4 linked regions of the Xenopus tropicalis genome follow. The protein of the gene in region 2 purifies or fractionates together with the protein of the main gene of each other region. This does not show direct contact. Links are inferred from orthologs where the notes say so. Each region holds a gene or a part of one and is shown on either strand. Other genes may lie near its edges.

Region 1 (3,513 bases), on a different chromosome or scaffold from region 2:
TACAACATACCCAGACGTGGAATTAAATCTCAAGGCTCACAGAAATCACGTGACAGGTACGCTGCTACTGTGTCCCAGCCTCAAGGTGTCATCCAAGTGAAGGAAAAAAAAAATTTTTTTTACCTTTTGGCTTTTTGGGTGCTGGCTGTGATGTGCTCTCTTTGGCGGAAGATGGGGACTTATTGACTTCGTGTTTCTTGACTGCCGAGTGGCTTGAGGGTTCTTTACTGAACTCAAACTTCCGTTTACCAGATGACGGTTCCTAGAGAGAACAGCAACTGCTCAGAACAAACTAGAACTTCACTGGCATTGGTCTTTGGATGTTAAAGGGGACCAATTCTTTGTATTTGTTTAATGAAAACATTGAGACAAATATATTTCCCCTCTTACTTTTGTCCATAAGCTCCTATGCTGCCGTTACCAACTCATCTTTCCAACTTGACCCTCAGTAAAAATACATTATTTCTTGCTGTCTGACCACAACCTTCCTTTTTAAGCTCTAGAAGACTTTCTGTAGTCTCAATCCCCCTATACGTAGCCAGCAAGGGTTATGGGTTAGTGCCCAAAGGGACATGGTGTAACATCTCTGGGACACAGCTGACAATAAAGCTGCCACATTTGGAACATCTGTAGCGCATACATGGGTATGATAGGTATACCCTATGCTGATAGAGGAGACAGAGGCGGTCGGTGTATCCATGCCCACACCCAACTTACTCACCTTTGGGATGTTATTACTTGGTGGGGTTTTAACAGTCTGTTTTTCAGTGCTGGAGCTGGCCTCTCCTGTGCCCTGTAATGTCGCAGACGCATAGCTTTGTGTGGCTGGTGGAGCTGTAAAAGAACACAATAGCTAAGTGGCAGTATAAAGGGAATAGTGTTGGAGGGAGAATTTAAAAACTCTTAGTATGTTATAGAATGGTCAATTCTAAGCAACTTTTCAATTGCCCTTCATTATTTATGTGTTTTGAATAACTTGCCACCTTCTCTATGGAGTTTTGAAAAGGGGGTCACTGATCCGGCAGCCAGAAATCAATTGCTCTGTTAGGCTACAGTATTATTGTTATTGTTACTTTATTTTCTATTCAGTCCCTTTCCTATTCATATATCAGTTTCTCATTCAAACCACGCCCTGGTTGCTAAGGTAACTCTGACCCTAACAACCAAATAACTACTGAAACTCCAGGCTGGAGAGCTCCTGAACTGAAAATAATAAAAAATGAAGACCAATTGCAAAATATCTCAGAATATCACTCTCTACATCATAGTAAAAGTTAACTCAAAAGGTAAACAACCCCTTTATAGCTGTTTTGCCATATGGTTGCAGTACAAGCCATGAAGTAAAGTAACCCTATGACTCAAGAGTTACTGTACCTGCAATGTACCTAATAGCGTAGGTAATGCAATGCACACAGTTTCTGTACAAGTTTCAGGGGCACTCACACATTTCAGAAAATAACTAATAGAGGGAATTACAAGGGATATGTGCAGAATAGCTTACTTTTCGGAGGAGTAACCTGCGGCTTGCTGGTGCGGCTGAAAAACAGACTCCCGGGACGCATAGAAGGAGATGAGTTCTCTTCTTCCTTTACCATAAACTGCCCAAGTTTGGTCACTTTCTGCAGAAGAGCATAGTAATGATTTATAATCCATGGCAGCATAAACACAAGGTGAACTTTCCTAAACCGGCACTGTTCAAAATTAGGTCAGCCTGTCATGTAAGCTGATGAGACAGAGCTGAATGTGCAGGGAACCAGCAGAAAAGAAGATATGGGGGGGGCTACTGGGGCATCTTTGGGGGCACAGATCTTCCCTGCTAAAGGGCTGTGGTTGCCTTGGGCCAACCACAAGTTCTGGGATAAGTGCTGATTTGCAGTCTTAGATATCACTGGAACTACAACCTATGAATGATATAAAGTTTTACATGTTAGTAACCTTTGCTATTAGGTAAGTGATTAAATGAAGACGGGATTAAAAAGGGCATGAGCAAAGAAATATTTATGGTCCCCTATATCACAGATAATGAATTGTTCCTTATGTAGAACCCCTTGTATTTGCTTATGTATCAGTCAAGCAAGCACAGGTAGAATGCATACCGGTGAGGGAGCGGTGGGCGAGCCATCCTCTGGAGGGGAGTTCAGACGTATGAATGAAATACCATAAGCAAGGTTCTAATGAGACAAGAGAACATGAAATGGTTTATAGAAAAACGTGCATCCAGCTATATACTAAAGGCTTGCCAACAAACTCCACAGAAATTACCACACTTCAGCAAAGGAAAAGTGTACTTCTCATGCCTGATCCGCACCCAACCTGAACCCACAACGGTCGCCCAAATTTCAACTCTAACTTACCTGACCTCGACCCACACATCACAACAAATACTAATTGTATCTACATTCTGTTTGTTAATTATATATCCCACAAAGCTCTCCGCTCTGTAAGCAGACACTGCACACCTTAGTGTAGGGTTGGGTGCACACAATCTTCACCCGATCCCATTTCTTTTCAGCTGCTCCTTTCACGAGCTTGTCTGGTCCGAACATTCGCAGCCGATTCAGGTTGCTTTCATTCTTGCTCTCGCTAGGAGACATGAACGATGACATTCCCAGGAGGACCTATGCAGAGACAAGCAAGATGGGAATTGGCACATCAGGTCTGTATTCCTCACAACTGTACTAACTTGCTATCTGCATTTACATTCTGTGAGCTCTGGAGAGTAAAATGCTATAGCAAACTATCCCTAAGCAGGAACACACAGAGTTTTCGTCACTTTCTTCACTGACTCTATATCATTAATCACAAAGCGCTGAGGACACGGTATTGTATTTACCACACTATCCCTAAGTATGAGATTGGCCCTGGGTAGTTGATGGTGTCCAGAGTTCTCCTTAACCAGCAGCACCCCCATCCTCAAGGAGCACGACCAACTTAAATGCCATTTCCGTTTGCTAAATGTTTAGGGAGCTTTACAGACATAGGATGCTCTCGCTATAGCCTGTGCTTTTTCTGCCTCCATATTAATGGTAATCTTTTTTACTTTAATAAACAATCATCCCAACCACTGCATATGGCACTATAGGTACCTGCCATACCTCATATTCCTGCTCGCTGATTGAAGTGGAGTGTCCGACCAGCACTTCCACAAACGCAGAACCTTCATTGCCAATATCAATGCTGTGGACCTGCTCCTCCTTTTCAAACTGCAGAAAATCAAAGGCACCAGAGTAAGCTGAGGTCAGTACCCATGCACGTATAGGCACACACGGCATGAAATTAGAGCAGTAATTATTTTTTATTTCATTTATTGCTGTTATTTATATAGTGCAGCTACATTTCCGCAGCGCTTTTACAGAGATTATTCATCAGTCCCTGCCCCAGATCTTACAATCTAGGGTCCCTATCACATTCACACACACTATGGTCAGTTTAATCAGAAGCCAATTAACGTGCCTGTATGTTTTTAAAGTGTGGGAGGAAACCGACGTACCCAGATGAAACCCATGCAGTGAG
Region 2 (4,087 bases):
ATTTGTACTGACATTAGATTACACACAGGTGCACTCTATTTAGTCATTAGCACTCATCAGGCAATGTCTATGGGCAACTGACTGCACTCAGACCAAAGGGGGCTGAATAATTACGCACACCCCACTTTGCACTTATTTATTTGTAAAAAATGTTTGGAATCATGTATGATTTTCGTTCCACTTCTCACGTGTACACCACTTTGTATTGGTCTTTCACGTGGAATTCCAATAAAACTGATTCATGTTTGTGGCTGTAATGTGACAAAATGTGGAAATGTTCAAGGGGGCCGAATACTTTTGCAAGCCACTGTAGAACCTGTGCACTTTGGAGTTAGGACCAGAGTAAAAGATTACTTTAGGATATTTTAAGTCTTCTGAATGTCACTGTTGTCACTAAATTGTAAAAATATAAACTAAAGATTACTGTTGGCAATTCAAAAAATGGCCACAGGATCCTCTTATGTAAAAAAAAAAAAAAAGCCTAAAAACTTGTGAAAAGTCTTGCATTAGTTTACGAAAAAATAAAACCTGGAAAACTGACACCACCGTGAACAAATGAGCCTAAAACGTAAAGATTACTGCTGCTCTATTTCACCCAATGTCTTCTCCTAAATAACCAGTTTTGTCCCTAAATTGTAATTGTTGCCCTTACTTAAAAAAAAACTAAACAAAAAAAAAACAAAACATTGGGACCTTCACCTGGCCCTAGTTTAAAAAAAAAAAAAAAAAAAAGACCCTTTCATTGCTAGTCAAATTGAAGAGGCACTGATGGCAGCATGTTTGATAAGAAATTATTTTTCTTTGTTACCAGGTTCATTAAAGCAGAGCCAAAAAAAACCGTTTTAGGTAAAACAAAGACTTTGCAACACAATATCCACCTAAAAAATAAAACAGAAGCCGTGAAAAGAATAAAATCATTTGTCAACCCAGCAAATAGGGTTTGTTCACTGACACAAGTGTAAGTTCTAATAAGAAAAAACAAATACTTAGTTGTGCCTAAATATAGGCAGCATGCATAGTAGGCTACCACCACGAAATGACTCTTTCTTTCTATAACTGCGAAAACTACTAGCTGTGAAGCAAACGTTTGCAAACACGCTTCCTTGTATTACTAGCGCCTTATAATTGTGAAACAAGGAAGTAAGTTGTCACCCCTCTACGTGCCGCGTCACTGCGCTTATATACGTGTGGTAGTGACGCCACAGTCTCGCGAGATGACAATTTTGACGTCGGGATTAGCTTTCCGGCAGGAGCCAAGGAGCTGGATATTAATGGCGTTGTTGGACGATTAAACGGCAATCTGGTTCTGCGGGCTGTGTTAAAAATATCGAGAGCGTCCCGCGAGAAGCGGGACTGTTGGGCGGTATGTCAGGTTGCGCTTTTACTTCTAAATTATTTATTCGAAGTTCTCATTCCCATTGAATTTAGGCCGAGTGTATTGTGATTTCTCAGAAGCTTGCATTTCTTCACTGTAGGGTGTCTGGCACAAATACCTAAGGCCTCATAAAAAATGCATGTTTTATTGTATGTACAGCGCTTTCCAAAAGGGGTGAGCCTTTAGAGCGATCTTAAGACACTGAGCTTCTTAAATATTTCAATTAAACAAGTGAACGTATCATTTTCCCCATATAGTGCTAAAGAGAGGGGCGAAACCACAGCTGCTTTATACAGCTCAAATGCTCTCTTCTTTTTATTACTTTATAGAGTATATACTGTATTAAACCTTGACTTTTTGCAATACGGAAAATTGAACATGGGCTTCATGTCAAGAAGAAACATTCTATACTGTATTAAATTGTGTTCCAAATAATCATGTCTCATCTGCATCTAGTTAAAGGGATACTGTCATGAATTTTATGTTGTACTTTTTATTACCAAATTACACTGTTTACATAAAATATAATTCAATTCACCATTTAAAATTGTATTCTTGAACCAACAAATGTATCTTTTTTTAGTTGTAATATTGGTGTATAGGCAGCCATCTTAGTGCATTGTGCCTGATTCTGAGCTTTCAGAAAGACCCAGTGCTACACATTAGAACTGCTTTCAGATAACCTACTCCCATGTAACTGGAGGAGTCCCAAGCCGGACGTAGATTTCTTACTATTGAGTGCTATTCTGATATATACTGGCAGCTGCTATCTTGCTGCCTTCCCATTGTTCTGCTGATCGGCTGCTGGGGGGGGGGGTGATATCACTCCAGCTTGCAGCTCAGCAGTAAAGTGTGACTGAAGTTTATCAGAGCACAGGTCACATTGCTGTAGCACCCTGGGAAATGAAGAATATGGATAGAACCATGTGAAATTTCAAAATTAAATATAAAAAAATCTTTTTTTGAAAAAGTGATTTCAATGCAGGATTCTGCTGGAGAAACCCCGTTAACTGATGCGTTTTGAAAAAAACATGTTTTCTCATGACAGTATTCCTTTAACCCCCCTCACCTCTACCAAACACACACACAAATCACATTTTTTTTTTTCATTCAATTAAAATACTTTAATAAAGCTCCCCCAAAAAGGCTAACTTGAAAAGATGCTTTTTGAGTTCCCATTCATCTACTATGATCTACTGCTAGTTTAAGGAATTTAAGTTTCAGGGCACAGCAGTTACTTTGGGGTGTATTGCAGCTGTTTCTGAGAGAGATTCCATAAAATATCCTAAGTATATAAATTTCCAGTGGGTGGCTGGCTGGCTTCTGAAAAGCCCTGCTGAACTTTTTCTCCTGTTCAATAACAATAGAACTCTAACTTTATGTCTTCCAAGGGACTGTCAAAGTGGCGCAAATGGTTTAACATGGAAAAAATGGTATCAATTCCAGGAAAACATAAAATCGAGGTTCTATTTCTCATCTGGATATAGCACCTGAGAAATGGAACTGAAATAAAGATCTGTAAACAATAATAACACCTATGCTGCCAGTTTTTCTTCTGTTCATCCGTTTTTAAACTGGAACAATTCAATTGTTTATCATAGACTGGTTTTCAGTTTCTCTAATCAACCTCATAAAACCTTTTAATTTTTTTACCAACAGGATGGCTGGTTGTGGTGAAGTTAGCCACTCTGCTAACATGCTGCCCACTAATAAGAAACTGGTTGAGCCTTGTCCCAACAGTGCTCCTTCATTGTCTGTTCCTGAATGTGCTATATGCCTGCAGACCTGTGTGCATCCAGTTAGTCTACCTTGTAAACACATATTCTGCTACTTGTGTGTGAAGGGGGCTTCTTGGCTTGGAAGGCGTTGTGCTTTGTGCAGACAAGAGATTCCTGAGGACTTTCTTGATAAGCCTACATTACTGTCACCTGAGGAACTGAAATCTGCAAGTAGGGGAAATGGAGAATATGCATGGTATTATGAGGGAAGAAATGGTTGGTGGCAGTATGATGAGCGGACAAGCAGAGAGCTTGAAGATGCCTTCACAAAAGGCAAAAAGAGCACAGAGATGTTGATAGCTGGCTTCCTCTATGTAGCAGACTTGGAGAACATGGTTCAATACAGGCGTAATGAGCATGGACGGCGTAGAAAAATCAAGAGAGATATTGTAGATATACCAAAAAAAGGAGTTGCTGGGCTAAGGCTTGAATGTGATGCAGCAAATGTAAATCTAGCGCGAGAGAGCTCAGCAGATGGTGCGGACAACATGGCAGCACTTGGAGCTTCTTCAAGTCAACCTACACCTGTGTTACCAACAAGGCTGCACACATCCCTCAGTACAACTGCAAGTCATGCCCTTTCACATTCTGATGTTACTTCTTCATTGGAGAACTCCTTTGCTCAGCTTCAGATTGGCGATCCTGTGATAGGCAGGAATAATATAGGTGAAGGTGAAGAAGGACAGCCTCTAATTAACGCTAGAATGCCAGCCCCCAGTGCTTTGCTGGAAGAATCAGAGCCAAGTGACAGTAATGACCATGGAAGTCCTACATTACAACATAATTCACTTCTTGTGCCACAAAGTAATAGGCTCCCATTTGGTAATCCCTGATTGTACCCCACCTGCATAGGCACAAAGTACCAGTGTAAGGTCTAAAAGACCTGATGGACAGTGCACAGTCACAGAAGTCTAAAGCAGTCAGCCAGAGAAAG
Region 3 (3,513 bases), on a different chromosome or scaffold from region 2:
AATGAGGGCATTGCAATCTTTTGTGCACCAGAATTGTCGTGTCCAGCTGATGGCGTTCAGTGCTTTGGAATAGCAAAAAGGTTGCCACGCATTCGTACCTTTAGCTGTTGGAGTGTAGTGGCTGTTTTCCAGTCCTTATCATCACGGAAACGTGTGCAGCGTGGGAAGCGAATGGATAACCCAGCAGCTGTATGAGCCTCTGCCTTTGAGTACTCTGCACCTGTAATTTCCCAAATGGGAGCTTTCTATGGTGAAAAATCAGGAATGAGTTTAGTATCTTGTCTCATGCACGAATATATTAAAGAATGCTGATTTGCAGGAGAACCTATGAAAAATTACAGCTGCTATACATAGTAGGTATCAATAAGTTTGCTTTCCAGGTTAAAAATAGACATTCATAAGGCTAAAAGATGCATATGAGCTAGTTTGCTGCACACAATTAATTCATGATATAATTAGATAGGACTCTGCAGTGGGCAGACTGGTCAAATATTAGGACACCTACTTGCCATCTCATCTCCACAGAATGTTTAAGCATAGTGAGTGAATACATTTAATGGCTCACCGAGCTACCAAACTGACATTGTCACAATTACCACAAAACCATTTAGGCAGTAGTTCACCTTTAAATTAACTTTCATTGAACAGACACTGAAAAGCTGGAAAGAGGCAGCAGGCAGAAAATCATTCAAAAACAATAAAAAAAATGAAGGCTAATTAAAAAGTTTCAAAAGTACAACACAGTAAAAGATAACTTAAAGGTGAAATTTAAAATTGCAACAGAATATTCAGCTACAAAGCTGTTTAATTATTTTACCCCTTGCAAATACTACCTTGGGATCATGTATAATGAAATCTGGGAAATAGTTCTTGTTGATTTTAAGCCATGATGGAATCTTAGATGGATCCTGTTAACAAAAGAAAGGAAGGCATCACATCATGTACATGGTTTTACATTGTATATACGTTTTCCACATAAGTTATGCTTTTAAAAATATAGATATAAAGATAAATGAAAAATACTAAATACATTTTTCATATTTCCATATGCATAGTGCATCACATTAAAAACATATTAGGGAAAAGAAGAAACTAAAAGAATCCTTTATGGGGCAACAACAACAAAAATGCTGAATTACCATAAGCGCTCAGAATATAGAATCCATAAATGTAGCTATAGTGTCCTCTACAGATCCAGTCATCTTTTACATAGTGAATCTTTTGGATTTTGGTTAAACCAAGCTTAAACTCAAGGCTATCCCTAAGCCAAAGTGAGGCCAAAAGTCCATTTGGTCACAGAAAAAAACATGTCTTTAGAGAATATTACCTGCCTTGTTTAAGCCTTTAATGGCTAATTTAAAAATTTGATGAAGAGGTGAATTTGAAATATTGTATTGTAAATTAAGATCCGTTTTAAAAGATTAATAATTTTTATCCAGAATTCTTTAGCTATGGGACAAAACCACCAGTTATGTATCAAAGAGTCAGTATATGAGCATATACTACAACAGAGAGAGGAAGTTAAGTCTATTTTTTGTTTTCTTTGACGGGTCATATACCATTTTATCAATAGTTTGAATTAGAAGTCATTGGTTGCAATGTTTATCACAGATCTAGTTCTATCCCAGATATTATCAACAGGAAGCAAGGGCTCCAAAACAGGACAGTATAATATATATAATAATAATAATATACTGCATACTGAGAGTATAAGAGAGTAAATGGCAAACTAAAAAAAAAATATATAACTTAGGCCATTCAATAAAATTGGGGGTTGTAGTAGCACCTAGTGTAGATAATGTGCCTTGTATAGAGGCACCATCTAACTGCAGGCAGAAAAAAAGTGTGCTTATTACCCATACACAATGAATAAAGCTTATACCATACAGTCCTGATTTATTTTCAGGGTCATAATGGTGCCATACAACACAGTCATCAATGCCCTTTTATTCCCACCTTTTCATTACAGAGTATAAGGCTTAAGAAGGAAAAAAAAAACCCGAAGCAGGGAAAATTAAATCAGACTCGCAATGCAATCATCCACAAGACAAGACTAACCTTGCTGATTTTGACCATGTTAAGCTCCTTCTGAAGGCGTTGCAGAGTAGCATCATCATAACCACTTGAACATTTTGTCACAGTGCACCACTTCTGACTTTCAGGATCATAGCAACCCATGAGAAAGATGGACATTATACCCCCTATAAAATGTTTAATAATTAAATAAAAACCTTGAATTATTTCTCCTTAAAGTACTGTGCTGAATATAGCCAAAAAGTTATTTATAATAGATAAAATTTACTTTTGAAAAAATAAGGGCAGCTACATTTACCATTTGCTCCCTTTCCATAATAAGCTCCCAAAACTGCCAAGTCAGCGGTGTCTGCCATTGCACCTTCATTCAAGTAATCCTTCTTTACTTTAAGCCAATGACGTTTCCCTGGCTCATAATTACTCTGGTGTGAACAAGAAAAAATTGACTGCGGAATCTCATATAGATGCAATTAGGAAGATGCTCTTTATCTAACTTAAATTACCTTTAAGTCCTTTAATACCAGACCCTCCAATCCCTCACGGATAACACGGGTGATCATGTCAGCCAGATCAGAAGCTTTCTGCAATATAAACAGGTTTTAGTTACAATAACAAAAAATACTAAAGGACGAGCAGATGTGGAATAGGTTGCAGGTACAACCAGGAATGAATTACAGTTTGATCAAGGATTTGAGCAAGGTTTTATGCCTGTGACAGTACTTACTGTGACATGTTTCATCTCAGAGAACAGAATGTGATTAGGGATTTCAACCATGTTATCCCGCATAAACTTTCGGCGCTCACTAAGTGGCCTGCAAAAAGTGGTTATTGGTAAGCAGCTCAAAGAAACATCTTTCATTTTATAAAATACAGTCTTGATCTGAATATGCTCACCGATCCATTAAGCTCACTCCATTGAAGTAAATGCAATCGAAAACAAACAAGCACACATTGGCATCTTTGAAAGCAGCTTTCTGTGAAGGAAATTAAATTAAAATATATTATTCCAGGTAAAATAGGAACACAAAGAAAATGTATCTATATTCCTGCAGCTGCAAAGCCTTAGAAATGCCAGGTTATAATCAGAACCCAGTGCAAAAAATCTGAAGTGTTTATACTCTAGTCTAGATCAACTGGTTCCTTAAAGACATTAGACATTAAAAATCATATATACCTTATGAACACCTAATGTGCCAAATGGAAGTGGCTTGCCAGTATTGGTATCTATAAGAAGAACTTCTGCATCCAGGATCATACTGTTTCCTCCTGGAAATGCTTTAGGTATAAAATCCTTAAAATGAGCAACCTGTAAAAAAAAAAAAAAAGTTGTAACCATGTATCTAAACACAACAAATAAGGTTGCTAAACACAAATGATACAAATAGTACATTATAAAAAAAATGACCTTATGGGGCAGCACTGGCTTCAGACTGCGGCTGAAGTAGCTGAAGTGATCTCCATTCTTATGTACTTGGACTC
Region 4 (3,513 bases), about 54 Mb from region 2:
CAACCTGAAATAGTTACATTATAGGGTTCCAGATGATTCTTATGATTATTCTAAGCATTCTTCTATAAGAATTGCAGTGCAGAGTTACTCCTACAGAATAACTGTGATGTGTTGCTGCATTGCTTTTGCTTTGTACCCAAGGCATCACATTGTCATGTGTTTCCTTGCAAATCCCCAGCTGACTCCACTCCAGGAGATGTGCGTGAGAAGCTCGTTCAGAAGATAAAGCTGGTTTTGAGCTCCGGCTCAGATGAGGAATGCGCCATATGTTTGGATTCTTTAAACATGCCAGTTATTACTTACTGTGCTCATGTATTCTGCAAACCTTGTATCTGTCAGGTTATCCAGCATGAAAAGGTTAGTGATATGTGACCACGGATGTTTAACTAGGTGTTGGGAGTCAACTAAGAGCCGCAATTCTTCGTTCTATGGCAATTGTTTTATTTGTTATAAGCTTTAAGTGGTTAAAAGCAACCATTTGCACAACACTGCAGTTATGATATTGAGGGATATAACAGGTCTGATTCTGTTGGTTGATGGCTTCTTTTGATAGATTTGAGATTCCATCAGCTGGCCAGTGTCTTCCAAACTCCTCTGTTGCATTCAGTATTTAGATCTGTGGGCTAAGTAGTTAAAGGTATAAAATATGTATCTGTGCTATGTTTATGGTTATTAGGCTTAAATTAAATGCTAATACAGGTATGGGACCAGTCTCCCCGTGTGCCAGAGCCCTTAAAGGTGTCCTTACGTGTTAAGATCTGCTTATTTGATGAGCAGATTGTCTCCCAATATACCTACCTAAGGTGGGCGATATTGGGCTTATTTGATCGTTTGGCCCTAGGGCCAAACAATCAAATTCAAAGGATGGGTATGGGAGCCGTCGGACCCAGCATCAATGAGCCAGTGCAGTCCCCACTCTGATGAGAAAATCAAGCCTGTCTGATCAATAATTGACCGATTTTCTGCCAGATATCAATCATGCAGGCCCGTCGGAAGGCCCCATACATGGGCAGTTAAGCAGCCAAATTGGTCTAAAGGACTCAAATTAACATGTTTATCTAGTCTACTATAAAATTATTTTAACATTAAAGGGGTGGTTCACCGTTAAGCATGCTATAGAATTGCCTATTTTAAGCAACTTGGTTGGTTAAGCAAATTGGTCTGCATTATTTATGTCTTATTTAATTGCTTATAATGGGGTCTATGGGAGATGGCCTTTCCGTAATTCAGAACTTTCTGGATTACTGGTTTCTGGATAATGGTCCCATGACTGTACCAAAAACTCTCTATGGAGAAAGATAACCCTTAATTAAGTTTGAATAAAAAGCATAGCCCTAGATCAGGGATCCCCAACCTTTCTTACTCGTGAGCCACAGTCAAATGTAAAAAGACTTGTAGAGCAACACAAGCATCATACAAGTTTATGGAGGAGCCAAATGAGGGCTAAGATTGGCTATTAGGCAGCCTCTATGCACACCATCAGCTTACAGGGGGCTTTATTTGGTAGTAAATCTTGTTTTTATTCAACCAAAACTTGCCAACAAGTCAGGAATTCAAAAATAACTACCTGGTTTGGGGGCACTGAGAGCAACATCGAAGGGGTTGGTAAGCAACATGTAGCTCACGAGCCACTGGTTGGGGATCCCTGATCTAGATCTTCACACAGAGTACAATAGGGTTTTCATGAGATGAATAAAAAGTTTCCCCCTTCAACTACACTGACCTGGGACACGTGTCAGGCAGGATCAGATTGAAATTTGGAGCGTCATTGTGGGTTGCGTGCCATTCAGACTGGGGTGCAGAAGTACTGAATGGAGCAAGAAGATGCAGGTAGGGGTTGGGTGCAGGAACTACAATGGCAGTATTTTGCAGCTTTGCGTCGGGTGCTATTTGAGTTTTGTTTTTGTTTAACCCCACATTACTACTAGACATTTTTGAGGCTCATATACAGTGGAGGAAATAATTATTTGACCCCTCACTGATTTTGTAAGTTTGTCCAATGACAAAGAAATGAAAAGTCTCAGAACAGTATCATTTCAATGGTAGGTTTATTTTAACAGTGGCAGATAGCACATCTAAAGGAAAATCGAAAAAATAACTTTAAATAAAAGATAGCAACTGATTTGCATTTCATTGAGTGAAATAAGTTTTTGAACCCTCTAACAAAAAACAGAGGTCAAACGTTTCTTGTAATTGATGACCAAGTTTGCGCACATTTTAGGAGGAATGTTGGTCCACTCCTCTTTGCAGATCATCTCTAAATCCCTAAGGTTTCGAGGCTGTCTCTGTGCAACTCTGAGCTTGAGCTCCCTCCATAGGTTTTCTATTGGATTAAGGTCCGGAGACTGACTAGGCCACTCCATGACCTTAATGTGCTTCTTCTTGAGCCACTCCTTTGTTGCCTTTGCTGTATGTTTTGGGTCATTGTCGTGCTGGAACACCCATCCACGACCCATTTTCAGTTTCCTGGCAGAGGGAAGGAGGTTGTCGTTCAGGATTTCACGATACATGGCTCCGTCCATTTTCCCGTTAATGCGAATAAGTTGTCCTGTGCCCTTAGCAGAAAAACACCCCCAAAGCAAAATGGTTCCACCCCCATGCTTGACGGTGGGGACGGTGTTTTGGGGGTCATAGGCAGCATTTTTCTTCCTCCAAACACAGCGAGTTGAGTTAATGCCAAAGAGCTCTATTTTGGTCTCATCAGACCACAGCACCTTCTCCCAGTCACTCACAGAATCATTCAGGTGTTCATTGGCAAACTTCAGACGGGCCTGCACATGTGCCTTCTTGAGCAGGGGGACCTTGCGAGCCCTGCAGGATTTTAATCCATTGCGGTGTAATGTGTTTCCAATGGTTTTCTTGGTGACTGTGGTCCCTGCTAATTTGAGGTCATTAACTAACTCCTCCCGTGTAGTTCTAGGATGCTTTTTCACCTTTCTCAGAATCATTGACACCCCACGAGGTGAGATCTTGCGTGGAGCCCCAGAGCGAGGTCGATTGATGGTCATTTTGTGCTCCTTCCATTTTCGAACAATCGCACCAACAGTTGTCACCTTCTCTCCCAGCTTCTTGCTAATGGTTTTGTAGCCCATTCCAGCCTTGTGCAGGTCTACAATTTTGTCTCTGACATCCTTGGACAGCTCTTTGGTCTTTCCCATGTTGGAGAGTTTGGAGTCTGCTTGATTGATTGATTCTGTGGACAGGTGTCTTTTATACAGGTGACTAGTTAAGACAGGTGACCTTAATGAGGTTGACTAATTGAGTAGAAGTGTCTAACCACTCTGTGGGAGCCAGAACTCTTAATGGTTGGTAGGGGTTCAAAAACTTATTTCACTCAATGAAATGCAAATCAGTTGCTATCTTTTATTTAAAGTTATTTTTTCGATTTTCCTTTTGATGTGCTATCTGCCACTGTTAAAATAAACCTACCATTGAAATGATACTGTTCTGAGACTTTTCATTTCTTTGTCATTGGACAAACTTACAAAATCAGTGAGGGGTCAAATAATTATT

The links.
Region 1: the proteins of rnf146 (region 2) and xrcc1 purify together in Homo sapiens (co-immunoprecipitation; 3 studies listed by BioGRID and IntAct, with this or other methods). This does not show direct contact. The link is inferred for Xenopus tropicalis from reciprocal best matches to the Homo sapiens genes RNF146 and XRCC1.
Region 3: the proteins of rnf146 (region 2) and lig3 purify together in Homo sapiens (co-immunoprecipitation; 3 studies listed by BioGRID and IntAct, counting the BioPlex papers as one, with this or other methods). This does not show direct contact. The link is inferred for Xenopus tropicalis from reciprocal best matches to the Homo sapiens genes RNF146 and LIG3.
Region 4: the proteins of rnf146 (region 2) and hltf purify together in Homo sapiens (affinity purification with mass spectrometry; 4 studies listed by BioGRID and IntAct, with this or other methods). This does not show direct contact. The link is inferred for Xenopus tropicalis from reciprocal best matches to the Homo sapiens genes RNF146 and HLTF.

The regions. Positions count from the first base shown.
Region 1 is NC_030683.2:118,935,115-118,938,627, reverse strand, and holds part of xrcc1 (DNA repair protein XRCC1), read right to left. Parts: intron 3,204-3,513; coding exon 3,096-3,203; intron 2,619-3,095; coding exon 2,460-2,618; intron 2,172-2,459; coding exon 2,097-2,171; intron 1,620-2,096; coding exon 1,502-1,619; intron 835-1,501; coding exon 722-834; intron 263-721; coding exon 124-262; intron 1-123. UniProt on the Homo sapiens protein: Scaffold protein involved in DNA single-strand break repair by mediating the assembly of DNA break repair protein complexes. Negatively regulates ADP-ribosyltransferase activity of PARP1 during base-excision repair in order to prevent excessive PARP1 activity.
Region 2 is NC_030681.2:67,900,117-67,904,203, forward strand, and holds the start of rnf146 (E3 ubiquitin-protein ligase rnf146), read left to right. Parts: upstream 1-1,287; 5' UTR 1,288-1,363; intron 1,364-3,034; 5' UTR 3,035-3,035; coding exon 3,036-3,986; 3' UTR 3,987-4,087. UniProt on the Homo sapiens protein: E3 ubiquitin-protein ligase that specifically binds poly-ADP-ribosylated (PARsylated) proteins and mediates their ubiquitination and subsequent degradation. May regulate many important biological processes, such as cell survival and DNA damage response.
Region 3 is NC_030686.2:27,249,218-27,252,730, forward strand, and holds part of lig3 (DNA ligase 3), read right to left. Parts: coding exon 3,440-3,513; intron 3,341-3,439; coding exon 3,209-3,340; intron 3,009-3,208; coding exon 2,929-3,008; intron 2,847-2,928; coding exon 2,759-2,846; intron 2,616-2,758; coding exon 2,538-2,615; intron 2,457-2,537; coding exon 2,333-2,456; intron 2,202-2,332; coding exon 2,059-2,201; intron 909-2,058; coding exon 834-908; intron 246-833; coding exon 99-245; intron 1-98. UniProt on the Homo sapiens protein: Isoform 3 functions as a heterodimer with DNA-repair protein XRCC1 in the nucleus and can correct defective DNA strand-break repair and sister chromatid exchange following treatment with ionizing radiation and alkylating agents.
Region 4 is NC_030681.2:122,173,752-122,177,264, reverse strand, and holds part of hltf (helicase-like transcription factor), read left to right. Parts: intron 1-178; coding exon 179-357; intron 358-3,513. UniProt on the Homo sapiens protein: Has both helicase and E3 ubiquitin ligase activities. Possesses intrinsic ATP-dependent nucleosome-remodeling activity; This activity may be required for transcriptional activation or repression of specific target promoters.